Tribolium castaneum: one gene and its partner. The protein of the gene in region 1 binds, or shares a complex with, the protein of each later gene. Links are inferred from orthologs where the notes say so. Each region holds a gene or a part of one and is shown in the gene's direction. Other genes may lie near its edges.

Region 1 (3,018 bases):
ATTAGCAATTTCGAAATTGATCGATTAGCAAACGTTCGATAATAAACCATCAATTATGAAAGGAAAAAATTAATTATTATTATTTAAGAAACTGTTAAACTAACTGTAGTATCGAGGGTGAAGCAATGGATAGTGAGAGTTTGTCGAAGAAAAAAAAGTTCATCGACTGATGTGATGGTTCATGAGGTCATCAATTTGCTCCTTTTTATGGCTTCTGCCAGTTTTGTCATTGCTTCTTTGGACAACATAAATTTCAAAACCGACAAATTGCCTCGGGAAATGTAATAAAAATGAGAAGATCGTGGTACAGATTGAAAGAATTACAATTGTTACATAAATCAGTGTTAAGTACGATCAATTATCTTGTTGCATTATAGAGTCCCCCTGCTGCGAGCAATTGTTGACTTGCCTTAAGTGGATCTTTTATTGATCGATCTGAGCAAATATTTGCTTAATTTTCCAGACAATAATCTTAACACCGTTCACTTTCAAGTGTTATGATTATAAGATGAATCTCATGTAGGATGACAACAAACAGATGGCTACCAGACACGTAATGACTTATTTATTCTGAAAGTACCAGAGATAAATCGAATGGAAACCGGAATGAAGAAAACTGCTAAGGAAAATTTGTTATTTAATGGAAAAAACTTCCTCATACTAAAAATTATTGGCACGATTGCCTAGAATTGGTACGAATTTCTTACATAAAGTGACGAAATTTGTGTAATTTATCTAACTTAAATGCCATCAGTATTTAAAAGACGTACAAACGTTACGCTCCAGCAATTTAATTGAAGATTTGCAAGCAACCATTTCAGTTATTCACCTACTTAATTTTCATTAACAAGTTTTTGCGGAAAAAATATTCGAGAAGTTCTCCACAAGGATCGCGAAGATTGTGCAACGCCCCTGAGAAAGTCTATATCTTTAAAATTTATTAGATACGCGAATGGTAATATCTGTTTATTTGTAATTTACATACAATCGACCGGAACAATTTGTTTTGTGATTTTTTATGCAATTGATGGGAGTATGGATGTGGTTTCACGCTCATTAAAAATACTCATTAAAAGCGCTAAAAGTTAACAATTAAATGTGACATCTGAACAAATGGCGATGGCCTACATTGTTTGAATTTACTACAAGGACGAACCTTAGTTCTTAAAAATAACCACGCCAGTGGAATTTTTCAAAAGACAAGTCGATAAATTCGGAAACGCAAAATAATGGTGGAGAATACATTATTTGGTGCCCCTTAGCTAGATAACCAATAATACTACGTGTTAAAGTGGGTTTTGGTGTTTCACGGTTGGCAATTGAGCACGTTTTCCCGCGCTTCAGCTGATTAGTGTTCACAGTTGTGTTTTGTGTTATTTTGTAATGGATTTGGAATTGGAAGATTTAGAAAACACGATTCAGGACGACGACGATGACAACGTGCAATTAACTTCAGCCGAGTTAATCGAAATGATGGAGGAAGTGTGGGTTAATGAGAAATTCGCACCTGAGATCCTCCCTCATAAACAAGAAGTTGTCGATTGCGTGCTGGGACAAATATCATACATGGAAAAAAATTTAGAGACTTTACCATCCACCGACTTTAAAAAAGGAATTCATCAATTGGAAGTCGATAGGATTCGTTTTTTGGTGGCGAGTTACCTTCGTCACAGATTGGAAAAAATCGAAACTTATGTTTTGCATATTTTAAAAGAAGAGGAACAGAGGGGCGAGAGAGAAGAAGAGTTGTATTTAACGGAAGCCGAACAACAATTTGCGATTAAATACAAACAAGGTTTTATATTTTGTTTTTTTTTTCTATTTTATTTTTTTAGTTACTGTTTTTGTTTTGTTTTCTTATTTTTTTTTGTTTTTATAGACTTAGAACAGCATTTCGAAAATGCGACTAATTTTTACCCGGGCTTGCCATTCGAAGACTGGAAAAGTCACATAGTTGCGCCAAATATGAACAGTTTTGTGTTTTTGAAAGCTAAAACTGCCGTAGAAGGGGTTGTTATAGACCCAAGCCGTGACGATGATGAAGTCGCTGATTTAACTGTGGGTTCGCAAATGATACTGTCATATAACAGCGTGACTGATTTGGTGAAAAAAGGAGACGTCCAATTGATATAAAATATATGTAATATATTTGATAAAAATCAACAAAAAACTCAAAATAAATACACTGTTAGAATCTCAATGTTAAGTAACATTCTTTAAGTAGTTTAAAGCGTCTCAATTATTTATTAAGTTTTAAAAAAATAAATCTTCTATTCTTCCTTATTATCATTTTGTTCATCACTGGTACTTATTGGTCCGAATTTGTTCTCGTAGTCATTTTTTGCAACTTCTTTCAGCTGGGTCTCTAAATTTTTCCCCGTTTCGCGAAGCATGCGACTAAAACGACCTTCCTGATTTTGTAAAAGCCGGTGTGGGTGGTCAAACTCCACCGCTTCTCCTGCATCCATCACCAAAACCTTGTCCGAGTCCATTATAGTATTCAATCGATGTGCTATAGTTAGGACTGTACACTCTTTGAAATTTTTACGTATACTGGTTTGGATCAGAGCATCAGTTGCCGGATCAACATTAGCGGTTGCTTCATCCAGAACCAGCACTTTGTTATTCCTGACTATAGCTCTGGCAAGACAGACAAGCTGGCGTTGGCCGGCACTAAAATTGGAACCTCCCTCGCTCACTCTTTGGTCTAAGCTGTCTATGGCATTTTTGAGTTCGACCTAAACAAAAAAAATCAGTGATATATTGCGGTTTTACAAAACTCACGTTTTCTAAAGCCTTCCATAAAGTCTTGTCATCACATTTTTCAAATGGGTCAAGATTGTAGCGTACTGTATTCGAGAAGAGAACTGGCTCCTGAGGAATGATTGAAATGTTGGACCTTAGGTCATTCAAACCGATGAATTGAGTGTTGACTCCATCGATTTCAATGGCTCCTTCGATTTTCGTAAGGCGAAAAAGGGCGGATATTAACGATGACTTGCCAGCGCCGGTGCGCCC
Region 2 (3,835 bases), on another chromosome or scaffold:
GTGTTGGAAGGAAATTTCGCACAATAAGTGAGTTTTTGAACTCAAAATAAAGTAATTCTTGACGTAATTATATAAATGTTTGGGTTAAAATGCAAAAAAAAAATTTGCTTGTGGACTTTGCATTAGTTCTCAGTTCCACTACTCTACAATTTGTAAGAGTGACTGGTATTTTTCTGTTGTGATTCATTCAGTTTCTTGCAATTTGTGACCAACTACCTCTAGAATTAATCTTTGGTTTTCAGTCCTTAATCTTCGACTTGGAATATTTATTATCTTGCGAAACAGATAAGCACTTCCTCTTGTAAAACTCAAACAAAATATCGTCAAACGAGGTTAAAAACTTGCTCAATTTTGTATGAAAATCTCAATTACTCACGCTAATAAGCACGTGCATCATTAATAGCTATTTGTAATGTATAATTCATGAAAAACATGCTACGACTACACCAATGAGATCACTGATAAATGGTAATTAGAAATGTACAGTCGTGACCGAGAATTTTGGCCAGGCCGGCAACTAATGGCCAAAACTTCCTAGCGGTACTGTACCCACATGTGACCCAAAATTGTCTAATTTTTCGATCACGTCTTAAGGCACACCGTTAGGAAAAGTGGACTTTCGTCCCTTGTTATTGTCAACAACACGTGTGAACGCCCCTTTAGCCAGCGATAAAAAATCGCCGATCGTTGACATTTCCAGTGACAATCAGGCGTCGCGATGGCCCTTTGTCGTCATAATAATCGCACAAAATCAATAATGAAGCGATTAAATCGTGATGAAGTCCCCTCGTGGTGCCAGTACCCACCTTTTCACCATTTCTGAAGCCGTCTTAAACAGTTTGGCTGCGATTGTCGTATTCGAAACGCATAAAAATATCAATCACTGGTGTCGTTGCTTCACTAAAAACATCACTAGAGCCGCCGATTCGTGCATGTTTATCACTGGTGGCACACGCATTCACTAGGCACGGCCGTCTTCGTTGCACTGGCGGACGCTTTCACGGAGGTTTCGCACCGTTTGCGATGAAAGCACGACTTCCAAGGGGAAAAACACGCACGGTGATGCTTTTCCACGGACACTCTCCGCACTTTTACCGATAACAATGGCGCGGTGGATGGATGTCGATCGTGGGGGACGTCGACGGTGGGATGTAAACATTGGGCGAGTGCTGACATCTGCTGGGACCGGAAGTGAAAAAGCGAAATGACAGACGACAGTGGCGGGGTGCACGATTTTGGCGAATTTTTGAATGTCTTTATTGACGATTCATCGACCAAATCTATTATCACCTTGTCAGCGTAAATGCGAAATGGCCTAATGCAAAAAAGGCGGTGGGAAATTGCAATGGTCAGGGCCGGCTTTCAGGAGTACCAACGCTACCAACATGGTGTCGGAATACATTTTCTCTTTGTAATTTTACTGAACTAATAAATTAATAAATAAATTAAATTAATCAGACTTTAGGGTGTAACAATAGACATTATAAAAATTTGGAAGATTTAGATCAAGATCAAGAAAAACTTGTTACCAGTGAAAACTATTTTATTTCACTTTAAAGTGACAAAAAAACATCGCGGCTAGACATAATTTTAATCTACAGGGGTGCCAAAGAAAGTCTTTCTTTGGCATCTTTTTTTTAATAATATGCTCCAAGGAGCGATAATTTAGTACTAAAAAGAAACACTCTGTAGAGTTATTATTTACCGAGAATGACGAGAATTTATTACGATAATGAAGTTTACAAATCGAGCCGTATCCGAGCTTTTTTCGCGTATACTCACAGATTTAACTAAGATAAAAGCAAAAATGAACAAAATTGCTTCTGAAATGTGGTATTTTTCCCTATTTTTAATATTTCTATCGGGTTAAAGCATTTTTCGTCTATAGAATTTCTCTAAATTTTGCAAAACAAGGCCAACAAATATCAAATTCACGTTTGAAATACGATATTGTTTTAAACGATCGGTTTCAAAAGAAAATATAAATAAATGTAAAGGCCCTGATAAGGTTTTTGCTAAAGTGTTAATTGGCACTATTTACTCACCCTGAAAATTAAAATTGTGCATGTTCATTTTTTGGCTGCTGGTAATTTTATTATTTGAAAAAAATATTGGGGCCTTTTTTTCAAAATTCTGAAAAATTTAGCTGACTAATCATAGGCAAGGCCAAAGTGGTGAAATTCTCACATTACCTATTCAAAAATTAAGTCTTAGGCAGTTCATAGTCAACCATTCTTATCACATCGTTATCAATATCAATGTCACAAGAAGAAAGTAATACAAGAAAAACAAACAACAAAAAACATGGCAAACTTACAACTTCATTTTCTTAATTAGCATGTTATTATCCCCAGAGTCACTAAAACACCACTCAATTTCGCAATACACTTTAACTAAAACTTCAGTGGAAACTTCCTTCGGTTCCATTTTTCTCTCGTCCATTTTCCGGCCGTAAAGTCACCACTAAATATCAGAAGACAAGTCACGACAACCACCGAATCGCGCAGAATATTATAGGAAAGAGTGGAAAGATCCATTCTTGTCATGACTTTGCGTCGACAAGTCAAAACAAAGACGAGCACAACATTTTCGCAGATTTTGCTCTGTGGAGGCGAAATCTGGCAGGTTTTGTGGCACTTCCGACTAAGCGATTGGTTCGAGGATGAATCAGCGCCCAACATCCACCAATCTGACTGGTTTCAACTTGTTCAAAATACGCCAGTGGTGCGGCCTAGATCTGGGCGGAGATGATGCAATTTGAGGCTGGAGGGGCGCAGAAGTGCAAAAATTTTTTCACCCCCCTCGTCAAAAAAAAATCACATAAAAGAATTTTTTTGAATCGTAAATTTAAAATCGAAACAACGTCCGGTTCAGTTTCTTTCATGTTGGGTCAGATTTATTTATTTTTATTATTTTTACCCAAATTATTCAAATGCCATTTTTTTGGAACTGTCAAAGTGACACTGACAATTTTTGAGCTAATTCAGTGATTTTTTTGATTTTTTTTTGCTGAATTTTTGCGACATTATTGCGTTTTTTAGCAAAAAATGAGCCAATTATTATTAACAAAGGACAGAAGCGGCAAATTAAACCAAGTTCATAACTTGAAAACGTTCGAAATAAATAAAGAATTTCAAATTTGAATTTTTAAACCAGTTTTAGTGAATTTGTGGCACCAAACGTCACCACTAATGTTGGCAGCTTTGGCGCAAAGTTCCCGCCAATTTACTTCCGTGTAACAACAACGCTTTATTCGCCACAAAATCGGTGTTTTATACGAAAATGGAAGGTTTCGATGATCCAGGAGTGTTTTACAGTGATAATTTCACGGTTGAGGACAACCAAAGCGACCCCCAAATCAATTTACAAGGTGTTAAGAAAAAGTTCAAGGAGTTCATCCGACAATACCACACCGACAATTTCAGCTACAAATACAGGTCTGTTTCCAATTTATTGCCAAAAATCACTGAAACCCCCTTATAGGGACACCCTGAAGCGCAATTACAACCTGCGCCAATATTACCTGGAAGTCAACATTGAAGATGTTGGCGCTTTTGACGAGACGTTGGCCGACAAACTATACAAACACCCGTCGGAACACTTGGTTATATTTGAGGAAGCGGCCAAGGAAGTGGCCGACGAACTCACAGCCCCACGTCCCGAAGGAGAGGAAGCAGTTGAAGACATACAAATTATGCTGTCTTCAGACGCCACTCCGACAAACTTAAGGAACATGAAAGTAGGGTTTTTTCGGGGGTTTACCGCTTTACAATCGCATGATTTCAGTCGGACGTTGTCTCAAAACTAGTGAAAATCCCAGGGATTGTGGTCAGTG

Evidence for each region.
Region 2: Sld5 (region 1) and Mcm5 share a complex: the UniProt entries of both Homo sapiens proteins name them as parts of the CMG helicase complex. The link is inferred for Tribolium castaneum from reciprocal best matches to the Homo sapiens genes GINS4 and MCM5.

What each region holds. Positions count from the first base shown.
Region 1 is NC_087398.1:5,431,770-5,434,787, forward strand, and holds Sld5 (DNA replication complex GINS protein SLD5), read left to right. Parts: upstream 1-1,311; 5' UTR 1,312-1,383; coding exon 1,384-1,795; intron 1,796-1,879; coding exon 1,880-2,133; 3' UTR 2,134-2,200; downstream 2,201-3,018. Other genes in the region: ATP-binding cassette sub-family C member 4, read right to left, coding at 2,271-2,738, 2,785-3,018. UniProt on the Homo sapiens protein: Required for correct functioning of the GINS complex, a complex that plays an essential role in the initiation of DNA replication, and progression of DNA replication forks.
Region 2 is NC_087396.1:20,945,375-20,949,209, forward strand, and holds part of Mcm5 (DNA replication licensing factor Mcm5), read left to right. Parts: intron 1-806; coding exon of another isoform or gene 807-817; exon of another isoform or gene 818-1,187; intron 1,188-2,317; coding exon of another isoform or gene 2,318-2,442; exon of another isoform or gene 2,443-2,753; intron 2,754-3,156; 5' UTR 3,157-3,282; coding exon 3,283-3,437; intron 3,438-3,483; coding exon 3,484-3,739; intron 3,740-3,786; coding exon 3,787-3,835. Other genes in the region: Pli (protein pellino), read right to left, coding at 2,318-2,442. UniProt on the Homo sapiens protein: Acts as a component of the MCM2-7 complex (MCM complex) which is the replicative helicase essential for 'once per cell cycle' DNA replication initiation and elongation in eukaryotic cells.